3 linked regions of the Tamandua tetradactyla genome follow. The protein of the gene in region 2 purifies or fractionates together with the protein of the main gene of each other region. This does not show direct contact. Links are inferred from orthologs where the notes say so. Each region holds a gene or a part of one and is shown on either strand. Other genes may lie near its edges. The genes, in order: FTSJ3, SRPK3 and CCDC86.

Region 1 (3,744 bases), on a different chromosome or scaffold from region 2:
AAACAAGAAAAGGAAAGGAATAAGACTCTTCCACTGCACCCTGGGATGGAATTCATGGATTTGCAGAAATGGGTTTCAAGCAATCATTCCCCTCCCAACTCCCTGTGGAATCCGTCCTCACCTGAAGTTCTTCAATCTTGGACAGATAATATTGGCGGAGTCCACTGCCTGCCTTCCCCTCTTCCAGCTCCATCTGAAGACACCATAATTATTAAACAACAACAGGCTAAGCATCCAAATGATTAAAAACCACAAGGCATAAATAACAGGCAGCTTTATGCGGTAAAAAAGAGCTTGGACACTGGAGCATAAGATTTGGATTCTAATCCCTTCTGAACCCCTCTGCAACCCCCCACCCCATTTTCACATGACTAAAATAAAATGAAAGCAGGAGGCTCAAGAAACGGTATACATTGAAAGCTTTGTAAAGCGTCGATCGCCATACAAACCCGAGGTGTTACAAGCGGAGAGGGCAGGAAGGACGGGTGCTCTGTCCCCAACCTACTTGCAACTCGCGGCTGGTCCCGATGCACTCCCATCACTCCTCTCACTTATTCCCACCGAGTCTTCCTCTCATGGCCCTGCCCTCATTCACCGGGGGCGGCGCTGACATAGCAGAATCGGTCCCAGGCAAGGCCCAGTCTGTATTGGCCCACCTGTTCACCCTAACCATCTTGCCCCGGCCTGATACCCATCTCGGTTCACGCCCGCTCTCCACCCAGCCTGGGTTTCTGACCCGCCGACATCAACATACCTGCTCTGGCCCATCAAGCGCCATTTTCATTCTTCAGAGGAGGCCGCGGGCATAGGAATCTTGGTGCGCAAGCGCACAAGCAGCGGCTTGGACAAGACCGAGGGCTGGTACAAAGAAGAGTTCCGGGTCAATGGGCGGGGTGTGCAGAAGGGTAACAGGGGCCGGGATGCTATAATTTCTCGAGTCGGGAGTTTTGGAAGGAGACAAGGATGGGACAGACCTCCCAAATGTTGTTTTCTAGAAGCTCCGTTTTTAGTTCACCCTCCTGGTCCTAACTTTCAATTTATAAAACTTGTGGACCGTGTATAGAACAAAGTTATGGCCACTCTCAAAATGGTGGAAAACTTGGAACCGGGGACGTAAGGGGCACAAGCGGAAGCGGAAGTACGTTTGCGGCTCGCGGTTCCTAAATGTGGCGGAAACGACGCAAGATCCTGGTGAGTGAGGTGGAGCAGCATGCGGCGTGTGATTGTTTGAGAAAGTAAGGCACCGAAAGTGTAATATATTGCTTGGGAGGAGACGTTCCCAACTTGTCGCACTTTCTCTCCAGATTGAGTGACACTCGAGTATCTCACCATGGGCAAGAAGGGCAAAGTTGGGAAGAGTCGGCGGGATAAGTTCTATCACTTGGCGAAGGAGACCGGTGAGTCAGAGTTCGCGCTGCAGTTAGCGAACATACAATCTTGGGTCTTTCCGCTCCCCTTTCCCGAATATTAGATTCCTCTTCCGCTGACGGTCGTGTGTCGTGAGGCTGCGGAGAAATATCTCATAAAACCCTGCATAGACTTCATTGTTTTGTCGCCGCTTCTCAGGTTATCGCTCCCGCTCTGCTTTCAAGCTAATCCAACTCAATCGCCGCTTCCAGTTCCTCCAGAAAGCTCGAGCCTTGCTGGACCTGTGTGCCGCGCCAGGAGGATGGTGCGTATAACACCCTTCACGGGTCGCGCTTGATAGTGTTTTTCGGGTTTTTAGTCCTGGGTGGTTTAGATTGGGAGTTGCGTTGGGGGAGGGATGAATTTGGGATGCTTCCTGCATTCTTCTCTCTATATACAATAATCCCAGCCTCAAACTTCTTATCTCTGAGCATAGATTTCTCCTAAACATTGGTGGTCTTTTTTTTTTTTTTTTTTTTTTGATTGCAGAGAAGAGGCTGGGAATGTGTACCTTTGACAGACTCTGGCCACTGCACTTGATAAGGGCTCCCTCCACTAGCGGTGACAGATCACATTGGGTATTTAAAAATGCTGTTTCTCTTTTATAGGCTGCAGGTGGCTTCCAAGTTTATGCCTGTGTCCAGCCTTATTGTGGGTGAGTGACAGGTGGCTCTCTTGGGTGTTTTAAGGGGTGGGAATGTGAGATATTATCTCTGTACTCTTCCTTCCTCCCTTTTCGGGGCAGCCCTTTGGAATACTTTGACCTGATTTCTTCCAGGTGTGGACCTGGTTCCAATCAAGCCTCTCCCCAGTGTGGTGACACTCCAGGAGGACATCACAACAGAACGCTGTCGACAGGTAATAAGAATCCCTCTCTTCTTGTTCCTTTATATGTAGACATCCGTGTTACTTCCTCTTCTCACTCAAATCCACTGAAGCAAGATTTTTCTGGATATTGTGCCCTGAGCAGTGGCACCGTGATGTGATGTTTCTAGTGTCTATTCTGTCCTCTGTTTGGGAGTAGGGAATGAGGTCTTTGGGACCTGAGGACAGGACAGAGATCTTCAGTGAAGTTCTTTCTGGTGAACTCCACTATTGGACTTTAAGCTCCATGAAGTCAGGAACATTATTTTTGTTCACCATGGTCTACCCCGCACCTAGAACAAGATTTGGCTCATGGCAGGCATTCAACAAATGAGTAGGGAGATGACTGACCCAGGGACTCCATTCCTAGGGACTCCTTTGTTTCTGCTGCCATAATCGTTTTACTTCTCTGTAGGCCCTGAGGAAAGAGCTAAAGACCTGGAAGGTGGATGTTGTGCTCAATGATGGGGCACCCAATGTTGGGGCTAGTTGGGTCCATGATGCTTACTCACAAGGTACCTGGGGAGGGAGAGATGAGGGTGAGGGCGGAGGTGGGCATGTCCTCTCAGGCTACAGAAGTCCCGAACTGACTGTCTTTATCCCACAGCCCATTTGACACTCATGGCTCTGCGTTTGGCTTGTGATTTTCTGGCCCGTGGTGGCTGCTTCATCACAAAGGTTTTCCGCTCTCGTGACTATCAGCCCCTACTATGGATTTTCCAACAGCTGTTTCGCCGTGTCCAGGCCACCAAGCCTCAAGCCTCTCGCCATGAATCTGCAGAGATCTTTGTGTTTTGCCAGGGTAGGCACCACTTTCTTCTTTGCCTTGATTCAGTCTCTCAACTACCAAAGCATACTCTTTTTCTTAATTTAAAATTTTTTTATTTTGAAATGTTTTCAAACTTACACAACAGTTATAAAAATAATACAAACCCATGGGGGAACCTTCAACATATTCCTATCCCCCAAGTTACTCAGATCCATAGAATAGGTGAACTATGTTCCTGTACCCCTCCATCCCCCCACCTTTATGTAGTTGTCATTACAAATTATGCACATAACTCATTATGAGTCCCAAACCACTGATTTCTCATACATTTGCCTTTTAGATCCTATAGGAAGTTAAAAATGGAGTTAGAAGCACGAAATACAATCATAGTGATATTTATATTTACCCTTGTCATTTTCCTTACCAGAGAATATTTATTTATTCTTGTGGTTTTGATCTATTGTCTTCTGTCCTTTCCTTTCAATCTGCAGACCTCTCTTTAGCATCTCTTGTCAGGTTGGTCTGATGGTACTAAACTCCTTCAGCTTTTGTTTATCTGGAAATGTCTTAATCTTTCATTTCTGGTAGACAGTTTTGTTAGATATGGGATTCTTAGTTGGCAGTTTTTTTGCTTTCAGACCTTTAAAATGTTATTCTGTTACTTTCTTGCCTTCATGGTTTCTGATGAGAAATACACATTCAGT
Region 2 (3,744 bases):
TTCTGTTTGCGCTTCAGCTTCTTCCTCTTGTTTTTGGACAGCCTGCCCGTCTGCCGGCAGGGCCAGGGTCACCCCGAGAGCGCCCATCACCCAACCCCGCCAGCCTGCCCTGCACAATGGAGAAGGCCACGGCCCCTGGGGATCCCGTGGACACCTGCCCAGCCCTGGGGCCAGCCCCAACCTTTCTCCTTCCCATCCGCACCCTCACGCCCCCCCCCCGGAAGCCCCGCTGCTCCTCACAACCCCCCAGCAGGGAAAGCCCAAACGCGTCTCCCAGGTGCCCGCTTCCCTCGCCAGCTCCAGCTCCCTCCGTGCTCCCGCCCCCTCCCACGCAGCCCAGCACCAGTGGAGCTTGTCCTCCCACGGGAGTGGCCCTGTCCTGTCGGGAGCTCCAAGGGAGGGCACCGACTCCTCTCCTGAGCGACTCCTCTCTGCCCACGGAGGGCAGCTGGGCAGGGGAAAGCAGCCCCGGTAGCCCCTGCACCCAGGCCACTCAGCCTGGGGTCGGGGGAGTAGAGGGTAGGGAAATTGGGGGATGGTGGACCCATGTGGCTGAGTGAGGGGTTCTCCAGCTGGCTCAGATGGGGGAGACAGAGAGCAACAGAAGAGGGGTGCCCCAACTTACCCAAACCTCTTGGGGGGCAGTGCTGACTGTGGAGGAGGGGGGCAGGAGAGCAGCCGGGAGGTGGGTGGGCAGGGGGGGCGGAGAAACAGAGTCAGGGTGGGGCTGAGGCCCCTGCCTCCCCCCCTGTGCAAAGCCCCTGGTACCTGTGGACCGAGAGGGCGCTGGGGCCCCCGACTGCTGCCATGCCGTGGCTTCGGCAGCCAGGCGCCGGATGTAGGTGTCGCCCACGCACAGCAGGATGTTCTCGGGCTTGATGTCGGTGTGGATGACCTTGCACTTGGTGTGGAGGTAGTCCAGGCCGTGCAGCACCTGGGGAGAGCCATACCTGAACTCCCCCAGCCTGGCCAGGTGGCGCAGGTGGCTGGCGGCTGGCGGCACTCACCTGCCGTACAATACTCTTCACGCAGGGCACGGGCAGGCCCTGGTAGTTGGACTTGATGATCCACTTGAGGAGCTGGTGGCCCAGCACCTCCAGTACCATGCACACATCTGGGGCCAGCGAGTGAAGGGCATGGGGCTGTGGGCGAGGGGGCGTCTGGCGGGGCCCGGGCTGGGAGACAACTGTCTAGAGCATCCCTTGTCACTCCCAGGGCTTTGCCCCTTGGGATGGCACATCTGGTGGTCATCCTGGAGAGAGGGTAGCTCTGCTCCTAGGCCGAAGGGAAGCTGCTGCCACAGGGGCGGCCCCTGCCATTTGCACCTCCCATGACCCAACACTGCTCCCCACCCCTGTAAGCAAATCCCCAAAGTGGTGGGGGCTGTTTCAAAGACTAACAGCTCTGGAAGGGGCAAGTCCCATTGTGCAGATCAGCCAACCGAGGCCCGGGGAGCTAGGAGGGCACATGCTGGGCCCCTTTGCCACCCCACAAGGATACGGACGCCATTAACCCCCGAGATCCTGAAGTCATCAAGAAGCTGGACGATGGTCTCTCTTTTGGGGTCGTTGGGGTCGCTGTCTCGGACCTGGAGCAAAAGCCAAGGGCCATGATGGCTCCAAGCCCCTCAGTGCCAGTTAGCTGCACCTCTCGGTGCTGCCCACCCTGCCTCTGGCCCCCTCTCCCACTCCGTCGGGGCCGGGCTGGGAGACAGGCCATCTCTTGCCTCTCTCCTGCTTCTCCAAATCCTTCCCCCCCCCCCCCCCACCCCGGCTCGGCCAGCTGGAGCCCTGCTCCTTCTGGAGCCGACCCACCCCGCCCCGCGGATCCCAGCAGGCCCTGGACCCGCATTGCCAGGCCCCGGGCAGCTCCAGGGGGGCTGTGAGCGGGGAGGGGAGGCGCCTCACACATTTCAGGAGCTTGATCTCATCCACAGCTGTCTCTGTGTAGTGCCCGGCGCTCTTCACCACTTTCAGGGCCACAAACCGCTTGCGCCTGCAACGCCAAGGCCCGCGTCGGGCTGCTGGCCCCGGCTGGACCAACGGGGTGCGCCGAGGCCGCCCCACCCGAGGGGGCGCAGGATGGTGGCCGGGTGGGGGCGCAGGGCGGCCCCCCAGCCCACTCACTGGATGTCCCAGCAGAGCCAGACGGTGGAGAAGTGGCCCCAGCCCAGCTTGCGCACCACGTGGTACCGCCCGTTGAACAGGTCGCCAATCCTCACCGGGTAGTAGCCGCCTGGCGAGGGGAGGCGGGTGGTGGCGGCGGGCCCCCTCGGCCCCCATCCCGGCCACCCGCACCCGCTGCCGGGCCTCCCGGCTTCCCTCCTCCTCCCCGGCCTCACCCTTGCAGTAGTCCTTGGGGTCTTCCTGCTCCTCGTCGTCGGAGCCCAGAAGCCCCTGCAGCATCTGCGGGCCCGGCGCCGCCAGGGCCAGTTCGGAGCCCGAGGACTCGGGCCCGCACGAGGTCTGCGAGCTGCGGGGGGCGGCGGGGGCGTGAGGTCGGAGAGGCGCCCAGGGCCCTGGGGTGCCCGGCCCGGCCCTACCTGCTACTGCTGCCGCTGTCGCCGCCCGCCTTGGCACTCATCCCGGCCCACAGCTCCGGCGCCCCCGGGGCCGGCTGCTCCTCTGGGGCCCGGCCGTGGCCTGAGCATTTATAGGCTCGCCTGCTGATCTCACCCGCCTTTATAAATAGCCTCCCAGCTGCTCGGCTGTGGGCAAGGTATGCGGGCGCGGGGAGGGCCCGGGAGCGCCCCGGCCCCAGGCTGTCGCCCGGCAGCAACCCGGTGGCCAGGCCGAGCCCCCGCGAGTGTCACTCGTGGAACGTTCTCCGGCTTTCCACTTGGCCCCCTGGGGAGGGAGCCAAGCTCCTGGGGCGACCCTTCTCATTTCCCTCGGAACCCCATTTTTGTCCCCTCCCAACCTGGTTCCCGCTTTTTCTGTCGTTCGTTGGCCCCTGAAATTGGCAGAGGCCCAGCACCCTCCCTTCCCCACCTGCAGCCCTGGGGGTTGGGTGGGGCGGGGATGCTTCAGGAACCAGCAAGGGCATGAGCCGAGGGCACCTCGCTCCTCCCACCAGAGGTGCCCGGTCTGCCGGGTGGAGGCCTTGGGGCCTCGCCGACACCCCACGCGCTCTCCCTCCTAGCTCCCCAGGAGAGCCCACGGGCAGCCTTGCCCAGGGCCTGCCACCCCGGCGGGGTTCACCATCTCCATTGGCATCTGGAAAGTGCCACCGTGAGCTGTGCACACTGGAGCTGCAGCACGGAGTCCCCCACCCTGCCTGCAGGGGCGCGTCCTCGCGGCAGCCACCAGCACATGAGCACTGCCCAGCCCTGCGAGTGGGGCAGTGATGCAGGCATCCGGGGACTTCAGGCGAGAGGAATGGGGTCCCAGCACAGGGGGGAGGGAAGGTAAGCCTCCGGGGCTTACCTTCCGGGGTGTCATATCACCTGGAACCTGGACTTTCCAGGCTAACAGGCACTCTTGCTCATCTGATTATTCTAGCTGCTTGTTCGGGGAAGTGGGAGTGGGGGGCAAGAGTGGAGATGGGAGGCCAGTTTCAGGGGGCCGTCGGGGCTGTCAGCGTGAAGCAGAGGGGGCTTAGGCATTGGCTGTGGCTATCCCAAGATGGGAGAGACTTGGTCCTGCCTTCGTGTGCCAGGAAAGCCCTGGGAGGGGGCAGGGCAAACAATAATGAAGGGGTGGAGGGAGCTGGGGGCTGGGGAGAAAGGCGCCAAGGCGCAGCAGG
Region 3 (3,744 bases), on a different chromosome or scaffold from region 2:
ATAAACACCCCAGGAGAGAAGAGGTGTTGCTTTGGTTACAGCTGTGTTTGTCCCAGATCCTACATCAGCACAATATAGTGGGTTGAATGGGTCAATTACCTTCTGCCCTCTATTTGTTCAACCAAATGCTACCATGAGCTAGGCTCTGGGGGTCTGACCATGACAGATAAGTCTGTAGTCATGGAGCCTCTGGTCAAGAGGGGAAGATGGGCAGCCAAGAAGAATTACACAAGTAAACAAGCGTTTGTGAAAATGGGGATGTTATAAAAAGGAAGTAACTGGTACAGTGACAATGTATAGCATGGGACTTGAAAACTTAGATTGGACAAAGAGGGATTTTCTGAGGGGCTGACATTTAAACTGAGACTTGAAAGATGAGCAAGACTGGCCAGGGCAAGAGCCTTTCAAGGAGAAGGCACAGCATGAGTGATGGACCTGAGCACAGGCTACTGGAGGGACACAGGGGTGGAGGGGTCAGTGCGGAAGGATCGAGCGATGGTAGAAGAGAAGAGCGTGGGTTTATGGGGCTCAGACTCATTAAGGAGTCGGGTGTGCATGCTCTGAGCAAGTCAGAAGGGGTTTTCATTTGGGGTGGGGGAGCTGAGACAATACTCTCCCCTTCTACTGCCTCTTGGTCCAGCGATCTGAGTCTTCATTCCCAGTTCTGGCTGCTGCTCCTTGGTTTTCTCTGCTGGTACCCCTCTTCTCCCCATCTGTACACATGCCCAGCCCCCTCTTACTCAGTGAGCTCATTTTCTCTGCTAGACCTCCTTGCTGTGCCTGCAGCCTGAGTACTAGGCCCCCAGGCTCCCACACTCAAACTTCCTCACCTTCTCCTGCCTGAACCAACCTCCTAGCCTGGTTGTATATAGTCATTGGTGGCCCACCATTCTCCCTGTGACATGCTTGGAAGGCTGGAGCAAGGCGCAGTGGCAGCGCCACCAACTGCTCCTCCCCCTTCAAGCCACTAGAGCTTCCAAATCTGTCCAATTGGTGACTGGCAGCAAATGACTCTCTGAGCCTCAGTCTCTCCTCTGTTTAATGGGGGAAAATAATACCTACTGTTTAAGATTGGGAGAGTTCAACACAGTGATGTCTGCACAGAGCCTTGCACAAAGCTCAGTCTTCAGTAAATGTTGTTAAAAGCACCCTCCTTCCCTGCAATCTCTCATGGCTATGCATCCCTGATTGTCCTGTGCGTGGTTTCCATGAGCTAAAATGGGCACTGAATCCCACCTCTCCTTCTTAGTAGATAAACTCTTCTTCCTTCAGATACGTCTCCTTACTGCTTCATTCAACAAGAGTTTATTGAGCCCTTACCAGACCCATGGCACAGAAAGACATAGAAGACCTCATGCCTGACCTTAAGAAGGTTGAAATCTAAGTTAAGATAGATCCACTGGGTATGGGAAAAGAGATTTCATACATCGACTTCGGTATCAGATCTGTTGCCCTGGTTTTGCCTCTTCCACTCATTTAGCCTCCCTGGGTTTCGATCTCCTTACATGTAAAACAGGAAAGAAAATACTAGCATCATAGGACTGATGTGCAGATTAAACACTATAATGCATGGCACTCCCCTCTGCAAGACTCTCCCCCTACTCAATTCCTGCACAGTGTCTTACATCACCCATGCTGGAGACTCATTTTTATCATAAAGACAAATAAATGTAATAGATAACAGTGGGTGAAGACCTAAATGCTTTTATAAATTAATGGTTTACTTGCTTCTGCCTCCCTTTTGGGGGTGGAGTGGGGGTGGGGCAGACAATGGTAAATATCTATTGAATGGACTCAGAAATGAGGTGCTATGGGAGAGGTCCACAGGGCCCCTAAGAAGGAAGCGACCTTTGAGGGCATGGTCTCCCCCTCCCGGGCATCCCAGCCCACTTGACCACATTCTGATTGTCATCACCTGTTTGTGCAACACCCCACCACTGTGAGCTCTCTTCAACACTGCGGCTATCACTTCCTCCTAAGTTCAGGCTGCACGAGGGCGGGACCCCAATACTAGACAGGACCCCACTCCTGCCTATGTTATCTCACCTCTTCTTCGAGAGATCCTTCCACACCCGCCCGGACTTCGGCTTCCCCTTCGGAATCATCGGAACCATCTCCTTCTCCTCCTTTTTCAGTTTCTTGGATGCTGGAGCGTGGGCTGAAGAACCTCCTGGCTTCTCTGCCCCGAGGTCGCCTGTCACGGTGTTCCCTAACGGGAGTGGTTTGCTAGATTGGTGGTGATCACAGGGGAAGTCGGGTGATTGAGGTGTCAGCTCCTGGAGTGGCTGCGACGGCTCCGGACTTGGCGCTGGCTGACCCGGGTAAGGCTCTGGTGATCCTGGGCCCGGCTGCAGCCGATGTCGGGGAGACCCCGGGGCTGACTCTTCCTTACTCTGGGCTAACTCCGGGTCCGCTTCTCTCTGGCCCTGGGAGAACCTTGATGACTCCCCATTTGTTGTTAGCAGACGCCGGGAGGAACCCGGATCCTCCTCTGGCTGCCTTCGGGGAGACCCCAGGCCTGCACTCTGCCGGAGACTGGGCGACCCGGGGCTGGTCTCCGGCTGACATCCGGGGGAGGCCAGGCCCGGGGGCCGCCCACTCGGAGGAGACCCGGACTCCCTTGTTTCCTCTGGGTGCGGCTCGAATGCCAGAAGAGCCCGTCGCGCCCGTAAAACCGAAGGAGCGCTCTCGGGGGCTTCAGGCTTTAGGCCTTCCAGCCGCCGGCTGCGCCTCAGCGGCGTATCCATTGCCTAAAAGTTTCCAAGTCCGAGCACACGTGCAGACGCCGTCGCTTCTGGGACAACCGGCGCCCTCCTATGACGTCAGAGCCGTCCCGTCAGTACCCGCGGGCGGAGTACCTGTCGCGGGGGAAGCCATATTGGTGAGGGGCGGAGAGGCGGGGTTGACGGCCTGGGGAGGAGGGGCTGGGCTGGGCTTCTCGGACGCATGCGCAGTAGGCTTTGCGATCCTTTCCTGGAGAGCATCCAGACAGGGCGAAGGGCCAGAGACCCGTTTTCGGGAGAGAAACGGGTCGACAAAGGTCCAGAGAGGAAATTTGGTGGCTAACTCACTTCCTCTAGTTGGGCAAGGATCCTGCCCTCTTCGGGCCTTAGTTTTCTCATTTGTACTATGGCTGCTGTTGCACTAGCTTAGTGCATCTAGAACGAGCCTGCCCGAGTCCTCCTAAGTGCCAGAACGAATACTACCTGGGGAGTCTGGGAATGGAAAATGCCTTGTCTTGAGTTATTTGTTATATATTCAAACACGTGCTTATGTATAAAATCTATAGCTCTCCATTTCAGCGCTGTCAACATTTATGGGTGAAATTGAGGCTCCGTGAGATGCGCCACCTTTGTCCTTTGGCAGACAATGGGTCCTCACCCACACTGCGTGCTTTTGGGGATCCCTTCTCCTGCCCCCAGTTTGAGAAACATGGGCTGGATCATCTCCAAGCTCAGTTTCACCTGGGATGGTGGTTTTTGCCCCTGTGTGTGAACCTCCTCCTCCCTTTGCCAGGGTCTTGCTTGCTTTCCTATAATCACCTACAGATGTACTTTGTTCACAAAACTCATTGGGACCCTCACCGGAGAACAGGCTTTGCCTAGAGGAGACTTTTCTCTGTGCCCCTTTGCATGAGACCCAGGTGGGAGCTTTGTTTCACTCCTTGCAGTCTTCTTTCTTAAGCACATCTTGAGGTATCCCACCTGTCTCCCAGCTATTTGCCAGCCTTATCCTCAGAACTGC

What was found.
Region 1: the proteins of SRPK3 (region 2) and FTSJ3 purify together in Homo sapiens (affinity purification with mass spectrometry; 3 studies listed by BioGRID and IntAct, with this or other methods). This does not show direct contact. The link is inferred for Tamandua tetradactyla from reciprocal best matches to the Homo sapiens genes SRPK3 and FTSJ3.
Region 3: the proteins of SRPK3 (region 2) and CCDC86 purify together in Homo sapiens (affinity purification with mass spectrometry; 3 studies listed by BioGRID and IntAct, with this or other methods). This does not show direct contact. The link is inferred for Tamandua tetradactyla from reciprocal best matches to the Homo sapiens genes SRPK3 and CCDC86.

Annotation. Positions count from the first base shown.
Region 1 is NC_135332.1:4,996,671-5,000,414, reverse strand, and holds the start of FTSJ3 (pre-rRNA 2'-O-ribose RNA methyltransferase FTSJ3), read left to right. Parts: upstream 1-1,198; 5' UTR 1,199-1,330; coding exon 1,331-1,397; intron 1,398-1,566; coding exon 1,567-1,672; intron 1,673-2,015; coding exon 2,016-2,062; intron 2,063-2,185; coding exon 2,186-2,265; intron 2,266-2,686; coding exon 2,687-2,786; intron 2,787-2,878; coding exon 2,879-3,073; intron 3,074-3,744. Other genes in the region: PSMC5 (26S proteasome regulatory subunit 8), read right to left, coding at 122-193, 755-784.
Region 2 is NC_135353.1:6,037,140-6,040,883, reverse strand, and holds the start of SRPK3 (SRSF protein kinase 3), read right to left. Parts: upstream 2,917-3,744; 5' UTR 2,584-2,916; coding exon 2,543-2,583; intron 2,473-2,542; coding exon 2,342-2,472; intron 2,236-2,341; coding exon 2,127-2,235; intron 1,996-2,126; coding exon 1,908-1,995; intron 1,589-1,907; coding exon 1,501-1,588; intron 1,115-1,500; coding exon 1,008-1,114; intron 935-1,007; coding exon 769-934; intron 652-768; coding exon 626-651; intron 51-625; coding exon 1-50. UniProt on the Homo sapiens protein: Serine/arginine-rich protein-specific kinase which specifically phosphorylates its substrates at serine residues located in regions rich in arginine/serine dipeptides, known as RS domains.
Region 3 is NC_135335.1:14,266,793-14,270,536, forward strand, and holds the start of CCDC86 (coiled-coil domain-containing protein 86), read right to left. Parts: upstream 2,880-3,744; 5' UTR 2,748-2,879; coding exon 2,047-2,747; intron 1-2,046.